2 linked regions of the Drosophila melanogaster genome follow. The protein of the gene in region 1 interacts with the protein of each later gene in a pairwise test. Each region holds a gene or a part of one and is shown on either strand. Other genes may lie near its edges. The genes, in order: CG1943 and DIP-iota.

Evidence for each region.
Region 2: the proteins of CG1943 (region 1) and DIP-iota interact in a two-hybrid assay, tested with the Drosophila melanogaster proteins (one large-scale study listed by BioGRID).

Annotation. Positions count from the first base shown.
Region 1 is NT_033777.3:7,072,992-7,081,224, forward strand, and holds CG1943 (uncharacterized protein), read left to right. Parts: upstream 1-1,867; 5' UTR 1,868-1,982; exon of another isoform or gene 1,983-2,496; intron 2,497-3,756; exon of another isoform or gene 3,757-3,898; 5' UTR 3,899-3,927; coding exon 3,928-4,284; 3' UTR 4,285-4,990; downstream 4,991-8,233. Other genes in the region: Ufl1 (UFM1 specific ligase 1), read right to left, coding at 1-134, 191-1,191, 1,258-1,334; Ref1 (RNA and export factor binding protein 1), read right to left, coding at 5,262-5,416, 5,831-6,028, 6,263-6,464, 6,973-7,218.
Region 2 is NT_033779.5:6,615,006-6,624,764, forward strand, and holds DIP-iota (Dpr-interacting protein iota), read right to left. Parts: upstream 6,696-9,759; 5' UTR 6,506-6,695; coding exon 6,421-6,505; intron 4,442-6,420; exon of another isoform or gene 4,075-4,441; intron 3,414-4,074; coding exon 3,170-3,413; intron 3,111-3,169; coding exon 2,755-3,110; intron 2,702-2,754; coding exon 2,420-2,701; intron 2,360-2,419; coding exon 2,288-2,359; intron 2,227-2,287; coding exon 2,135-2,226; 3' UTR 2,129-2,134; downstream 1-2,128. Other genes in the region: CG11050 (uncharacterized protein), read left to right, coding at 854-1,147, 1,209-1,508; CG34345 (uncharacterized protein), read left to right, coding at 8,118-8,338, 8,399-8,553, 8,676-8,826, 8,880-9,076, 9,131-9,651, 9,718-9,759.

The sequences.
Region 1 (8,233 bases):
GTTTCCCTTTTGCGCTAGCGTCTTCTCCACAATGTACTGCTGGTATACGCCGCCATCGATGGCCGCCTTGGCCTGAGACTCTGCCAACGCTTGACACGGCTGAACCAATTGCGCGAGGTATGGTTGCGAAAATACTAAAAGTAACATATTCGTTGTAATGAAATTAAAAAAGAGTAACTCAAGTACGTACCAATGCCATCAAGATAAACAAAGTTGCTGGGATTGCTATGCTTTTGGGCCATGATGGTGCTGAAAACCTCCTCGATATCCTCCTCGGACAGATTCGATGGAAGTATGGTGGTCAGATCCAGGTACTGCTTGGTGGCACTGCACTCATTTAGCGCCGTGACCACCGTGAGCTCCACCAGTCGAGCGCCAAGGGCCACACGCTTGAGGTAGAGAAACTCTTCGTTGGGGAACTGCTTGCGAATGTAGGACTTGGCATCCGAAATTCCCAGCTTTTGAATGGCATCATACTCAAGGAAGCTGTTCTGCTTGTAGAACGAGTTCACCCAGTCAGCCTGCGTCTTGGCATAGATGTGCGGCACGTATTGGGAGTTGGCCTGCTTGGAGGTAACCTGGCCAGCTGGCGCGATTTCGTCCAGCAACGAGTAGAAGATCTTCTCCTGCACACCGATCTTCTGAAGAATCACAGCCACATTTATGGGCCTGGTAATGGCGGCCAGGGCTCCCCGAATCTTCGCTTTGCAACGTTGGATGTAGGCCTGAGTGAAGAACACCCGCGGATTTGAGGCATCCTGGCGACCCTTAATAATCTTACCTAGATGCTTTTCGACCACGTCGTGTTGCAGGAAGTCCGACGGCAGATCGAACTGGGAAGCCAATTCCGAAATGGAAACCTCTCCTCGCTGAACCAGCTTCTCGTTGATCTCCTGCGCAATATGACTGATGTAGTCCTCGTCGATTAGCTGTCCCAGTACCAGGTGTACGCTTTGATTCTCCGCAGATATTCGTTCGGCAAGCAGCTCGATTCGTGATAAATCCACATTTAGGGTTTTGCTGACCTCCACCAAGTTGGCACGACCTCCGTTCACGTACAACTCGTCCTGGATCTCGCGCTCCAGATGATCCGGCGTGATGTACTCCTTGCCATCGTTGGTGAACACCACCTCCAGCATCTGCTTCTCCAGCAGCAGCGTGACGATCTCCACGCAGTTTCGCTCCGAGAGCCTACGAAATTGGTAATGTAACAAATGTGAAAACGTAAAGCAGTAAAATAGGAGAGCTTCGCCTTACTTCTGCAGCGTAGACGTGAGCTGCGCCTTCTGAAAGTCGGCGGCCAAGCGCTTGATCTCGTCCCAGTCACTACCCATCTTGTTATGATTCGCTGCGATAGTAAAGATAAAGATATTAGACTGCTTAGATGCAATCTGAAAAAACCTAAAATGAAACGTCAACAAAACTCAAGTGTGACCTTACTGCTCACAAGGTGGTTTCACTGGTTTCAGTCAATGCACTGGTTGAACACGAGGCTAATGTCTTGAATCTGATATTCAAGAAAAATATCGATTACAACATACCCGTTACTCAGCTACAGGGCGTTTAAATAAAAATATAAAAACTAGAAGTCAAAGCATAATTCAGCATAAATAATCTTGTACTGATCAACAACCGAGATGATATAGTAATGAACGTCTATGATTTAGATTTAGTTATTAAACAGTAATGAAGTACTTTTTTTCAAAAGTTGCAATTCTCTTTCATAGATGGCGTGTTGAGCAATCTCGACACTTAACAGTGCCAGGATACACTGCTGTTATATCAAATGGGACCAGACTAGAAAAGCTTCCCCTACGAACAGAAGACAGATTTTCGGTTAATTCCAATACTCTGCTCCGGTCACTTTACACCATATTTGAAATCAACGTTCGTTGGCAAGTGCGCGTCGTTTCCGCATCTCTTATTCGCAAAGTTAAAGCCAGACTTCTTCGAGTAGAGCCGTATTCCGGAGTCCTTCCAAGGTAAGCGTGACTTGGGTGTCGACATGCTGGGCCCACAGATAGTTGGTTGACAGCGGGTTTGCGAGATAAATCAATATTTTCGCAGACCAACACTTTTCACTTGTGTCATGGAATTTCGTACACCGAGCGCAAGCGCTGTCTGTGTGTGCGTGCGTTTGTGTGAGTGCAGCTGCTTTTGAATTTTATTTAGCACAGCTGCCATATGCATTATAAATAACACATCCTCTGTGGAAGTGGAAGATTCCCGGTTTGTGGCTCGGTCTTTTGGGCTATGGCCCACGACGGGGCAATCTCCGGCTGCCGCTCCTTTTGGGCGGCCATATTGTTCGGGTTCTGAGTGCTTCGCTTTAGTCAGGCGATTATTGCATGCACCTAGGTACGAAAAACTAACCGAAAGCAGTTTGAACCGAATCTCAGTAGCCTGCTCTTGAAGTGGCTGTTGTTTACTTCGCTTTCTGGTCGGCCAGTTTCCGTGTGCATCGCCGTTTTTAGTCTAATCGATGATACGTTTTAAGTAGGTCTGCCGAAACTGGATTTGTCTAATGTGTTTTGGCCATAAACATTCACTTGGTCAACAAGTCGCGGCGATGGCAGCAGGCCGAAATTTCGAGTTTTAACCAGATTGCTCATTACTCATAATTTCAGCACCAATACAAGTAGAAAGCACAGTTAATGTGATTCTCGTATGCATGCAGATGTGTGTGTGTGAGAGCCGGCAATCGCCCTAGGGAAGCAAAAACAACAAGTACAGTGGAAAGGGAACACGGCAATCAGTCTCTGTTATTGCCTTTCTGCACTGAGAGAAAATGCTTGTACGATGTCATTTTTTGCCAGCTAATTTGTTTTCATTGTTACGCCTTATATCTATCTCTCTCTCTTTGGTGTTGTTTTAGTTATGTAAATAAAATTTTAGATATCCATTCGATTCATCATAATAAATTTAGATGCGACCGTATTTTGTTCTGTGCAGTACGTTGGTAGTGTTTTTTGCCCAGGTGGAAAGCGTTCAACTGTGGGAATCGAAATCGCTTGTGAGCCTTCTAATCTAGAGATCTTTGACTCGGTGCGGTCATTCACATTGCTTTGTTTTCCCGTACCCCAACAAAATTGCCAGTGTGTGTGGCCTGTGTTTGTTGTTGTCGCCAACAGCCACCCCAAATGGGATACACCCCAGGCGGGAGTTGGGCGGAATGTGCCTCCCCCAGCGGATGACGCATCATTACAAATGCTTCTTCACCGCACTTGCCTCAGATGTCATCGCCTGGGAGGCGACCTCTTTTCCGCCATAAGCGAGGCAAAAAATCATTACGAAACTAATATTTGTCATTTGCATCTTGGATGCGAGGAAGTGTGTTTTATAGATGATATGTAAAGCATATTATTTTCATATATACATATAACCCACTTTCTATTAACTTAATTAGTTTCTTAATTGACCACTCTGACTATTGGCACTTTATATCACCAAAGGACTTTATTGTTTGAACTGTAGTCAATGGTCAATGCCCAAACGCACTTTTTGAGCCCACTGTGCGAACGCCTAACACAAAAACGGAGAAATGAACAATGGCAAAAACAACAACGAAAGTGCGACAGCCACAAAACGCGCAATTACAGTTAACGGCAAAGTTAAAAAGTTGAGGGCAGCGCAGCAAGAAAAATAGATGAGTTTCTATATACATACATACATACATATGTGTGTAGAGAAACCGTCGATAAGGTGGCAGAAGGGCAGAACAAATGGGTCTCTCGTTTTCACTCCACTTCGCCAAGATTTGCCAGTGGTGGGGTGATGTCGGATGACGGGCGTCATTGTGCCGGGCGTCACATCCGCAAGTGGCGTGACTGAATTTGTAGTCTAGGGTACTCGTATTTCCGACCGCATCTGATTCACTTTTCATTGTTATGCATTGCAGTCACTGAAACCACAACCAGCAGCGACAAAATGACATCCACCGAGCTGAAAATCGGCCTGACCACCAGTGCCCGTCCCTCCAGCCGAGTGCTGAAGCCCCCAGGCGGCGGACACACCAATATCTTCTCGGAGCCCGACGTGGCCGTTCCCGCCCCGCGTGCCAAGTACAACCAACAGAACTCCTCAAACCTCAATGCCTGCATGGGCTCCACGGATCCCAACAAGGTGGTGGAGAAAATTCGCGAAGAGGTCTCCATCCAGAAGGAGGAGGCCAAGTCCGCCCCACCCAGCCAGCCCAAGGAGCCGGCGAACAAACCAGCGGCCACAAATGGAGAGGCACGCGGCCGAGTTCCACCCGGCGGATTCTCGTCGGGCGGATTCTGGTAGAGGGAGGAAGGAGGGAAGGAAGTGTGCCCGGGAGCAGAAGCAGCTGCCAAGCATTTAATGACTCACCATCACATCCTCAGACCGACATAAGAATCATAAAACTATAAATATACATAACTCGCTTATAACATACGTATACACCTATATTTAGAGGCGCATTACCTATATTAACCTGCTGATCAGCCGAAGAAGAAGGGAAACTGATTATATTTTGCCAAGCAGCACTCCAAGTCGTTCTTCCTTTCGCCCTTTCATTTTCATGTCCCACATTTGTTCTATTGTCTAAGTAACAGGTTTAAAATGTCTAACGAAATTGTTGAAATTAAGTAACTCGTGATTCCGCCCCACAAATACGGATGATATGGATTGACTTTGCTAAAATCTACCACCTACTAAGCCTAATTTAGCATTTGTACTTAAAGTGTCCAATCGAATCTTCTTATAGTCTGTAAAATTCGTCCAAACGAATACCAATATAACCATCGATGTATTACTCCAAATAAAACATTTAATTGTAAGTGATGGCTCTTTTATTTTTGCAAGTTGATGGAGATTCTTCGGAGTCCGCCGCCGCCTAGTAATTAAACAATACTCCTAGCCTATTGAGTCAGTAAATACAATTCGATTTGGTCACGAAATTAATTCTAGTATTTATTACAATTCAGTTTAATTTGACAAGGTCCATCAATTTATCGTCGAACTTGATAAAGCGCATTTCTAAATACAATAAATACAGCATCAAATGTATTTCAGTTATCTTAACATCCGCCGCATTGGCAAAACTAACAATTAATGGATAAATGCGCAAGTGGTTGATTGATTTGATGTCCGATGCTTTCAAAGATCTGCTCCTGGGCGCGGCGTTGTCGATGCGTTTGCATTTATGTACCATGCGGGGGGTGTCCATATGGTAGGCTTAAAACTATAGATTGGGCTGCTCTTCTATTCTTGTTAGACTAATTCAGACTATTCACTATTTAGATCTTCATGTCGTTGATGTATGAGTCCAGTTCGGCGTCCAGCTCCTCAGCAGTGGGCGGGGCCTTGCGCTCCCGTCGCTGGCCGCCTGCCGCCGGCTTGCCACCGACCGGACGTTTGAAGCCGCGACGCGCCGTGCCACCAGCTTGGCCACCTAAAAAACAGTTCGGAATGATAGTGTAAGCATTGGAGCAAGGATGGATCGTCATGGGACCGTATCATGGTCATTATAGAAAGGTAAGCTTTCATATGTGGAACTGACCTAGTAACGTAGTTTACCCAACAAACATCGTATTAAATCGAAACAAAAGTTTGAATAATTACAAAAGCTGTTGACAAGAAAACATAACAAAGAAAGGAAAGTATTTCGTATAAAAAGTCAAGTAACAAAATTTGAAACCTAAGACATACTAGGTAATCGAAATAAATAGGCATTTAAAAATCTTTGTGGGAATGGGGATAGATCCAAAATTGATCTGAAATAGTTTTAAATGAACGATGTTTGTGGTAAAAATAAACGAAAATGGGCATCATTCACGGTCCCTGCTGTAGCATTTTGGATACGCACCACCACGCTTGAATGAAGTTGGTGCAGTACCACCCACGCGACGCTTGACATCGGTGGCGGCTACGGGACGGGTCAACACGGCCACGTCTGAGACGGCCAGCTGAATGGTCATAGGGCGTCCGTCCAAAGGTACGCCATGGTACTGTTTAATGGCCTTCAAGGCGTCGGCGCGACGTTCGAAAATCACGTCAGCGGTGCCTGCAAAGAAAAGTGAATAAATCAAATACATGGCAATAGCTTTAAATTTCGGCATAAATCAAAATACTAAATAAAAACCGCAGCTTCATCGGATGATCTGATCTGTTATCAATTCAAGCCGATTTATATTACTTGGAATGTCTGTTACTGAACCATTCTGCCGCCATTTTATGAACAGCATGTACCGAAATGTTTCACCTAACGACAGGTAGCTGGAGTAGTACTAGCACTTACCCAACGAGCGACCGGAGCGATCGTAGTGCACTGCCGCCTTCTTTATCGGACCAAAGTCGTTGAAGAGCTCCTTGATGTCCGTGTTGGATACGCCGTAGTCCAGGTTACCGACGATGAGGCGGGTGGGTCCAGATCCTCCACCGACGGCACCCCTCTTCGGTCCGTCGTACATATCGTGCTTCCAAGCGCTGTTCACATCGCCCTAGAGGTGGGGGTAGTATTAGGTAGAAGGTAGATGGGTATGTCTTCGAACGCTGCGCGTATCAACTATATGTATGTGGCGGGAGTAGCCGTTGCAGTAGCAGTTGCATCGTATCCTAGCCACAAGAGAGGACAGCCATATTGAGCGGAGACACTAGAAATGCTTGTTAACTGGGTATGGTTCACGTGGAAAACGTGAGGCGTGAGACGTGAGGAAAAATAAGTTAAGACACAGGTGTCGTCTGTTTGGTATTCTGTAAAAACGGGGTTAAAGGAACTTGAACTTGAGGCTCTGCTCGGGCTCGAAGAGTTGTTCCGTCCGTTGGAAGGCGCATGGTGGCCATTTTGATTTTGGTTTAGATTCTGAGTCTGTTTTTCGCTTCCAAGCACTGTTGTGCGGATCATGGGCCGCAAGACACTTGCTTTGGTAGTGCTCTGTCCTGGTGAACTGAGCACGGGGATGGTCTGCTCCGGCTGCTCCGTTTGGCCATTGAAACGCAATGAATTACCCGTGGGAACTTGGCCTTCTGAACGGCTCCGGCGGCCACTCCTCCTCGCGGGCCCTTGAGCACGCTTCCTGGCTTCCTGGGCGAGCCGCCGGCATTGGCTCCGCCGCGGCGGGCTCCACCAGCAAAACGCTGCTGTCCGCCCGTTTTTCGGGCGCCACCTGGTCCGCCGCGGGCGGCTTGCGGCTTTTTTTGCGAGCGTGTGGACTTAATGATGTCGTCGAGGCTCATTTCAATTTTGTCCACCATCTTGCTTATTGCGTGCTGTATTGACTACTTGGAGATCGTTTAAAGTCAAGGGAAAGATTGGGTCTCTGCTTGCTACTGAAGAATGTGTTTAAAGCGTTTTTTTTTTAAGGAGGAGCGCGTGGAATTTCACAAAACTTTGCAAAAACGACGCACACAGATCTACACAATCGCCATATTGGTTCAGAGGAAAAAAGTGTTGAATAACGGTGTGCGTCAAGATAACGACGACAACGAGTTGTCAACGAAAATGAAACGGCGAAATAGGGTAAATACGGAAATTATATAAACATAAAATATAACATAACATTAAAAATTATTATAATTCATATTCACGAAATATCCTAATAATATGGGAAATATCCACTTTTGAAAATGTTTAGAACCATAATAAATATGTGATTATAATAATGTTGTGATTAAATGTTGTGATTAAAATGACTATGATCTTGGAAAATTATTTGGAATGATTACCTCCCATCTAAGTTTTTTTTTTCTCTCTTTTTATTTACAATCTGTCTTAAAAAAGTATGACAATAAGTACATTTTATAATTAATCTTATATTAACAGAGGCAGTAGTTATCCATTAATCCCTACTACATACTCTAGGCATAACATGTTTTAATACTTAAAACCTGTCAGGGAGGTCTAGCACGTAAAATCTTTTAAGTCTTCTGACGTTGTTATTACGTTTTACCAAACTTAAGGCTAAGTTATTTTCATGTGTTCTTAGTCTGTCTATATATTTTTTAATATGTTTTGCTATTTCTTCTTTAACATAAGGGATTCCTAAGTCTTTATGGATACTTGCATTTGAAATAAAAATTGAGCATCAACAATTTGTCTTAATATTTTTGATTGGTAGCGTTGTAGAATCTAAATATTTGAATTGCTGGTATAAGTTTAGTATGGCTTTGTATAAACGGACTTTATTTTCCAGAGTGGTTGCAGATTTTCGGCAACCAGCAACCAGGTCATCTTCAAACTTTTTAGATTTAGTTGCTGGCGCTTTGCTTT
Region 2 (9,759 bases), on another chromosome or scaffold:
TTCTTAACGAGGTTTTTACGATTTTAGTTAAACGGTTGACATTCTTATATATTTATATATATTCTATGAAAGTCGGCCTATCTTACATTTACCTGCAACATTTTAATTAAGCAACGTATCACTATAACTCACATTCTCTTTATAGCTTTATTACTAATAAAGTTAATATGAACTTATATATACCAATAATAATAACTGCAGTGTGAGCTCATAGAAAAAGCAAAGCAATCAGATAAGGTGCTTAATTCATTACGTGCCTACAAATTGATCAGCTAATCAATAAGCCCGATAAGACACGACCGATGCGATTGCAGCGAAATTGTGGCTTCTTGCAGTTTTATGAAGCAATAATATCATAAGTAAGGCAACTTTTAGCATTAGCAACTACGAAAATGAACGAATGTCAGTGGCAATGGGCCTGCTATGTCTTTTGGACCTTGTTCTCCCAACCACGCGTGTCTATAAATACAACCTTTATTGATCAAATAGCAACAGTCTCAAACCACCCTCGCTGGCAGGCTTGTGTTGAAGGTCTGGGACATGGGGCCACAACCTTGATGTGTGCAACGAGCCCAGCCGGCAACGATGTCACCGAATTCGTGTCGTGTTTTTAATTAATCAAAGTGGCAGGAGGGATATTATGTGAGACTGAGCACAGGAACAAGCAATCTAAGAAACGAGAAATGAAAACAATAGCTTAAATATTAAAGAAACTCTGTTTTTCTTGAATTACACAAGAAGGTATTGAGTAGAAAAAGCATTGCACTTTGTTAGAACGTATCTGGTCTAGTCTAAGAATAGTAACTTTATATTATAAACTCACTAACCCGCTGTGTTTCCATTTCTCTTGCAGCACACAAAACGCACCGGATGGGTGCTGCGTGATGTCAACGACTGCGAATCGATTTCGGGTCACATGTACAGGATGAGCATGCTAACCTTTCTGCTCGACGGCAGTGAGGGACTCAACCAGATACGCTGCATGGAACTGGCGCTGGTACACGATTTGGCAGAGAGTTTGGTGGGTGACATAACGCCATTCTGCGGGATATCCAAAGACGATAAGCGAGCCATGGAGTTCAAGGCGATGGAAGATATCTGCAAGCTGATCGAGCCTCGTGGCAAACGCATTATGGAGCTGTTTGAGGTGCGTTACGAAGCCAAGTTTACTCTTTGTGGGAAGCGTATTTATGTAATTCGAATTGCAGGAATACGAGCATGGACAGACTGCCGAGAGCAAGTTCGTCAAGGATTTGGATCGTCTGGATATGGTTATGCAGGCGTTCGAGTACGAGAAGCGGGACAATTGCCTTCTGAAGCACCAGGAGTTCTTCGACTCAACGGAGGGCAAGTTCAACCATCCGTTTGTTAAGAAGCTGGTCAACGAGATCTACGAGCAGAGGGATGTCCTGGCCAAGGCAAAGGGCGCCACACCACCGCCGGCCATCGAGGTGCCTAGCATGGAGAGATCTTCGAAACTTGCTAACGGGCATGACGGCTCGAGTTGAGCGTTATTCTAGAAACCCGTCTTAGGCTAGCACATGAACACATGAACACATCCTCACATACAAACCAACACGCTCTTAATTTGTAAGCCAATCCAACTAACAAACTGTTAAGCCTACCTCGACACGCTCATAGCTAGATCTAATTCTTAACTCACTAATTTATTGCGAAAGAAACGGAACAGATGCAACCGATGGGAAGTAGCTAAATATTAATGTTTAAATATTAACACACCTGTTGAACACGTCTCCTTAGTTCGATTTCCTCTAAGTTAAGCGTAAAGTTGCGGATCGAATTCTATCGATATATTCAATTGATCTGACTAAGGAATCCAATTGTAAATAACTTAAACGAATTGTAGACTATTTAGAAAAAAATTATTGTAAATGTTGTCCTAAAGCAATTTTATTCAGTCAACCGAACGTAAAAATCAAAACAAAAGATCAGAATCAAAATCAAATTAATTGATTTTTTTTTAATAGTTTGCTCACACGTGCGTTACTTTTACCCTTGAATCGAACAATTGTCACCAAAATTATTATTAATATAACATTGTGAATTAGGCAATATAAAGATGAAGTCACTCATTAGACGTGGCCAAAAGACAAAGCACACATTGTTTGATTGCTCACAAAAGTGACACTTTATTGACGAAACATAGAAACATTATCCAAAGCGGTTGGAAACTGCAGCTCTTATCAGACATATTTGCGATGTATTCTGCAATAAGATTTAGCTAGTTATCTTTATCGCGACTCTATTTATTGTAGAACAAACAAACCTTCGATGACAATGAACTGACTTTCGCGGGAGGAAGTTTGATGCGAGTGCTGTCCATGCTTCTTGGCCTTATCTGGTGGTCAACATTTGTTACATCTAAGGGATTAAGTAACCGAAATATAATCTCACTTACGGTGCACGGTTATAATCCGATCTGTCTGACCCATCGCATTCTTTGCCCTGCATATGTACTCTCCGAAATCTCTTTTCGTTATTGGACGCAGGGTGATCCGCATCACGATCCGGAAGACGTGGTCCACTGAGACCGACTCGTAGGAACCTCCTTGCAGCAATTGCGAATCCCTCAGCCAGAAGTTCACCGATGCCGGCTGCGATTCTGTGATGCACTCCAGCGTCAGCTTCTGGCCCAGGCCCACGTAGATGGTATCGTAGCGTGTCCAGATCGTGGGCGCAACTGAAAGATAACTCAGTATTATATATTGAATCCAACTCTTTGTTCACACATACAATTCACCACCAGCATGACGCGTTTGCTCACTGTGGGTGGCACTCCGTTGGAGGCGATGCAGAGATAGGCGCCCATGTGGGAGCGCTGCACCTGCCACAGGGTGAGATTCTGACCCTCCACGCTGAACACTTCCCGATCGCCGTCGTCTGAAATCAGTATCGGAGTCGCTTCCTCGCGACGCCAGGTGATGGTGGGCATGGGCACTCCCGTTGCACTGCAAGTGAGTGTTACGTTCTGTCCCGTGGAACGAACCACATCCTGACTGGTTTGATAGTCTACAATGTCTGGCGGCACCACCACATCCAGGTAGCCCATTTGGCTCTTCATGGGATCCGTGTTGATTTGGCACATGTACCTACGGTAAACGCTAGTAGAAGAATATGGTCCATCTATCTGATAGATACTTTCACTCACCATCCGCGATCCGATTCCTGAACATCGCGTATTTTTAGCTGCCAGATCCGATGCTCCGTGTGGGAGATGGAGATGCGATGGTTCTTGGTGATGACGTGGTTCTGGATGCTCAGTATCGTCTGCGTGTCCACTCGCAGCCAGGCCACCTTGAAGCTAACCAGGTCGTGGACAACACACGTGAGTAGGGCATCCCGTCCCACGGGAACTGTTGAGTTGTTGATTGGACCGCTGAACTTGGGATCCGCTGCAAAGGAAGATGGTGGCACCAAGCCCAATGGTTTGGCATTTATGGCTTTCATCATTAGGGCGCTAAATGGGGCGACGATATACAACTGCTGGGTGGCTTTTGGGGTGGTTTATGGGGCTTGCAAATGTGAGGCACTGGCATTTGCTGTATTTTAATGGAACTCAGACGCCAAACATTTAATTCAATTAAAAAATAACCTTTTTTTATGTGCAGCTTTTCTAATCCACAATTATCAGGATAATTATTTCATTTCTTATCCTCGCACATTTTTGCGTGTCTCTGCAGAATGTCAACGCAGACTAGGCCAAGTTTGTTGCCAGATGGCCCGCCGAAATGGTCAACGATATTTAAAATTGTTTAACGGCCATAAATTTCTTGAGGTTAACATTAGGCCGAGACAGCGGCAGATAATCCAATAATTAGATAAATTATAGATGTCAGCTACATTCTGGCAAAATAGAGTAGCTTCAACACTAACAAATTGTAAAACTAGCAAAACGAAGCTATTTTTGAATCAGTAAAATATGTTGATTATATTATATATATATAGAAACAATAGTTTTGAACATCATCTTAAACCTATGATTTGGTTATGGATTCTTTTCTGAGCACTTTTACTCAAAAATAGTACCTCATGTATTGTACATACATAATATTGAACAGCGGGATAGTTATGTTTTGATTTTATCGTAAATAATAGCATAAACACGTTGGGTTCACACACTATGAACTCAAACTACTGCTTTCCGGCGTGTTGTTGCTTCGGCCAACTCGAGTCCCATCGCAATAATTTTGAGTCAAGGTGCCCGACCGCAGGACTTCGACAGTTGCCGTCAGCCAATCTAACCACCAGAGTTCCAACCGCAAACCGAACCCACCCACACCATCGCAAACACAACAATGGGCTGGAGGCAGGAGTAATGGAAGAAATCACATCACATGCCTAACAAGTAGCACGACTCTGTGGCCAGGAGACGAGGAATCCAGTTCCAGCTACTGTTCCTGTTCCAGCAAACGCCTAAATTACAATTATGACCAAATAATAACCCGAAAAAATGCAAAAATCTAATAGAGCGCGGTATGTGTGTGTGTGTTGGTTGGGGGGCAGCAGGTGCTGGTACCTGGAAAATTGTAAAAAGCTGTGCTACACCTTTATGTATACCCCCCCCATCCACCACGAATTGATTGCGTTGTGTGGGGGGGGTATCCACCAAACTAGCATCAAATTGGGTAGCCTACGGATGCCATGCCATAGAGCCTATAATTTGCGATTATGTTTGGGTCTGGCCGCAAGTTGGGCGCTTTTTTTTTGGAGTCCGAGTCCGAAGGCTCCGCCTTCAGTTGCTCTGAGTGTGGGGAACGAGGCGCCATTGTTTGACTGCCTTCAGTTGATATGGTTTCTGTTTTTGTTGGTATTGCAATTTGGTTATTGCATGTTTGCATATTGAAACATTCCGAAGAAAGGGACGAGCGAGACTTTTTAAGCCATAAAACACAAACGTACTTTGCACTGGAAATAAAAGTATAATAAGCTAAAGAACTAATATAAAAAAAACAAAAATTTCAATAATATATTTGCATCAACAGATTTTGATTAGATTTTTTATGCATAAAGGAGCAATGAACATAAAACGCTAACAAAACTACAAGGTAAGTAATTATGTATAATATCTTACTTTTGATTTCTACTTTTGAAATTATTCTGAGTGTACTCATACATGTGTGTTCATATAGTTAAACTTTTCTTCTTTTATTTATGTCTGCAAGGTAGCGTAATTTAGCATTTAACTTTTTCGCCACCGCACCGCCTTTGTTGTTGCCACATTTTATAAGGGGAAATTGACTATGAGTTGTTAAATATATTTTCCTGTTTTCTTGCACGACTTGTATCGCTGGAATCGCTTGAATCGCTCGGCCAGGACTTAAGCCGCATTTTCCCCGCGAAGTCGCTGCAAATCCGGCCGTGTCCTTTCCCCACGCCACTTGAACTTGAAACGGAAAGTGAATGTCCTGTCTCCTGTTAGACACTCCAGCTGTCTGCCGGCGAAAGGAATCACAATCACAATCAGCACGCAATGTCTGCCAAAAAGTTAAGTAAAAACTGCGAAATAACCCACTGCAGTGGCAGTTCCACACCCGCAACCGCCAACCGAAAAACGCGGCACTTCAGCGGCAGAAACCGCCGGCCAGGAATAGAAAAAAAAATGAAACGAAAATATCGCAGAGTGCAATAGGAAGTGGGAAAACGTCGCCTTTCCGCGACTGTCTGTCTGCCTGCCCGCTGTGCGGTGGGTGGTGGGTGGTGGGAGTTGGTTGGTTGGCACGGAACATCGTGCGGTGCGGTGCATCATCACTCCTTTGAGCCACTTCTCACTTTCTTATCGCACGCTGCGGCTAGCCTGCCAATATTTATGTTTACTTTGCATCTGGCACATTGATTTAAATGCGAATTTTGTCGAATTTTGATATATTTATCGCATTTGGCTCGCCAAAGTCAAGGAAAATTTGTTTTGTTTTTTTTATTCGGCGCACATTTTCCCCAGCGGAAGTTACCCCTCGTTACTCTTTCGCAGCTCTCCACCGGAAACCCCTCTGCCCGCTCCCTTTCCCTATCACCGCCATCCTGTCTGTCCCGTCTGGGGAATATGTTGGCCACAGTTTATTCACTTATGGACTCGTTGGACTTCCGATTACCAGCTACCTTCCATTTTATACGCTACCACTCCGGCTTTAGATAGTTTGCAGTCAATTAGCTGTACACTTTTGGGTTCATCATTTCGTGTTGGCGGGTTACAAAAGTTCAGCTTGTAAACAGGATACTTTTTAATTGTACAACATTCAAAAAACGTCATATTAATCGAGAAAAACTATCCTTAAAATGTTTAATTTAATATTTAATGGGTTATGCATTTCATTCAAAGTAAATCTTATATTTCTGACTAATTTCATTATTAGCAATCAGATTTATTTATCCTTTAGTTAATCACATCCTCGATCCACTTACAATTGTTTAGCTCCGAAAAGCTGGCCTGGCTGAAACACACGCTCTGCAGGAGCAGCAGCCAAAAGCTGGGCAATCGCCTTCCCATAGCCGAAAACTCAACCGCAATCAAGGTGCGAAACTTTTGAATATTTGCTGATTTCCCACTTTAATTTTTAACTCTGCCACTTTCACTGCCCAAATGGCCGAAGTTCAACTTCCGCCGCAACAGCGCAAATGTATTTTTTCCGCTTCTGCGGATGAAGTTTTTTCCGCCGATTGCCGTGGCCAAACGTCCGCACACCCGTACAACTGGTCGCGAACTGATAATCAAGTGTCAAAACTCATATTCAAAATTCAAATGCGGCACTGGCGTTGCGCATGTGTCCTGCGGCCTTGCGAAGGTAGTGGGTGGTGGTTGGGTGGTTCTAGTGTGTCTAGTGGGTATGGTTGTAGCCCAGTAGTAGTCAAGGTGCCCGGCAGCCGAAAGACGGTGCTGTGCAATAGTAAATGTTTCATTCATAAACCGCCCGACGTAATATTTTCATATGCACGTGACGATATGAAGTATACGACATGTTGCCGGGGGAAAGTGACACATTATTGGTGATTTTTTTGTGGGCGGCGGAGAATAAAGGCCAACTCCAATACCATTCTAATTAACCCCGAAATGCCGCGCATCTTCTGCCCAACTTTCACCCGTATCCCCCATATCCCTCCGGATTCCAGCTGCTGCTCCTCTGCTTTTCTGCGATGCTTGCACTTCCAACTGGCTTGGTTTGCATGTGTGAGCTTCTCGGTAAGTTGGCATTAAGTTCGCACCGCTATTTGCGCACAATTAGCGCTTTTCAATAGCGATAACAATAATCATAATAAGCACGTGGAATTTGCTTGATTGTTGTTTTCCCTAGGGGCACATCTTTTGCTGGCCCATGCAAGTTTCTCTTCGTTTCTTCATTCTGGCCTCTGAGTCAGAGCCTCTGTCTTAATTAAATAATATTTTGCTAAAATTTGAGTGTGTTTTTATGCAATCTTGAAGTCTAAGTGATTGATAAATCCTACCTTTGTTTCATAATTTGATTAGTCAGCAAAATAAACTTACGTTTTAGAGTATCTGAATGGCAATACGTACATTAGATTGCCTTGACTAGTTATGTATATTTTTAAAATAGACTTAAATTCAAGAATTGTTAGTTTAGTGGATTTAACATACTTTTTCATTATTTAAAAATTATTTATTTAAAAAACTGCCGATAATTTCAAATTGTTTCTGCTTGATGTATAATAAAGCCTTTCAAATAAACTTTCCTTACTTTTACTTACACATGAAAAGTATGTGTCTTGGCTAACTGTGTAGAAACTCGAAATCAAATTTCGAAAAAGCAAACAGAAATGGTTTACAACTCCGATGTTACCTAACAATAAAATTATGGCGGTGTATAACTTTGCTAAAAGTTATAGTGTTGTGTAGCGCTGTTAAAAGAAGTAAGCGAATTTACAACTATTTTTTGAAACAAGAATCACTCATGAAATATGTTCTATGAGGCTTGTTAGGGAAATACTAAATTATATTAAGCTAAATATACAAACAGTGTATATGTGTAACTTAAGTGTATCAATCACCGCAGCATTTAAAATAGGCCTGACGAATAAGCGATATAAATCAATTTAAAATGTAGTATCTTCGTTAGGAAATGAAAAAATATAGTTTTCGCAGCAGAATGTTGCTAAGATCATTTCATTATATTCTGCTGAACTGGATTTTATTATTCCTATTCACAGTTTGCAAAGCAAAGAAAGCCGAAAATGATGTAGTACAGGAAGTAATATACTCAAATTCCATTCGAGCCCTGTCTGAACTTCGCGAGATTGAGAATTCCTATATGGAGCATTTAAACAACTATGTTAGCTTTCTGCAACAAAAAATCAAAACTCTCAGAATGTATGATATATATTTTAATTCCTCTCTTAAAACTAGAATTACACTTTAACTTTCACATAGTTTTATTAATTCTTTAACTCCGAATTATTTGGATCACAAGGTGGATCGATATAAATATGTGTCCAATCCCCTAAATTCCTTTGGACTTTTAAGGCGGGCTCATCAAGATTGGCCCAAGTTGATTGCTTACTTAAAGGATCAAGGAAATATAAAAGGTGTGGATTATATACAATGTTTGCACGTTTTCTCAATTTCAAGGGAAGCTAAAAGTACATTTTTGTATTTTATCACTTAAATATGAAACAACAGGCTATTGGTTTATTTAAATATTTTACAGTTGACATCGAGGAAATGAATAAGCTAATCAATCGTACACCCCACGCAAATGATATGGAAGAGGCCCTAATGGGAATGGATAGAATAGAACACTTCTACGACCTGAAGTCATCGGATATGGCCCAGGGTCTTGTGGCAGGTCAACAGCTAAGGTAAGATAACTTAGTTTTAACACTATTAGATAATAATGATAACAATTCTATAGTTCGCGAATGTCAGCTTCCGACTGCTTGGCTTTAGCAGACTATATGTACAAACGATCAGAATTTAGACGTGCGGCTGAATGGTATCGAATAGCTTTAAGTGTCTTCACCAAACCAAAAAATAATATTGCATTTAAGTTCTATGCTCCAAAACGAAAAGAGCTCGAAAAAATGTTTGTCATAAGTCGGCTTCAAGAAGGCAAGTTCAAAGAAGCAATAATATTGGTGTTTATAAATAATTATTTACCATCAGGTTCCGTTGAAAACTTAACTGACTGTCTGAAGGAACTTTCTCAAGACCCGAACAATTCATTGGTGCATCTAAGGCCAAGGAAATCGCCCACTATGATTGAACAGGGCTGCCAGGGAAAGTTTCCACCAGGACCTCAACTAGTGTGTCGCTATAATAGCACCACCACTCCATTTATGCGAATAGCTCCTCTAAAGGAGGAGGAGATCAGCAGAGACCCACTTATCTGGTTATATCACGACGTGATCTATGACAGTGAGATAGCTCAGTTGACGAATGTGACCCGAGAGGAGATGATTCTGGGCACCACCACAAACTATACGACTCCAGATCGGGTGAATCGTCTCTTTCACATTAAAGTCACCGACGACGATGGCGGAAAGTTGGACAAAACGTTGGTAAATCGTATGGCAGACATATCTGGCCTGGATGTGGGCAATACCACCACACTGGCCAGAATCAATTATGGACTTGGTGGTTATTTCCAAGAACACAGTGATTACATGGACATTAAGCTTTATCCGGCAAGTAACCTGATTCATTTAAGTGTATATTATTCATTATATCGCTAGATCATACACAACTATTAGGAACTGACTGAGGAAGGTGATCGATTAATGACATTCTTGTTC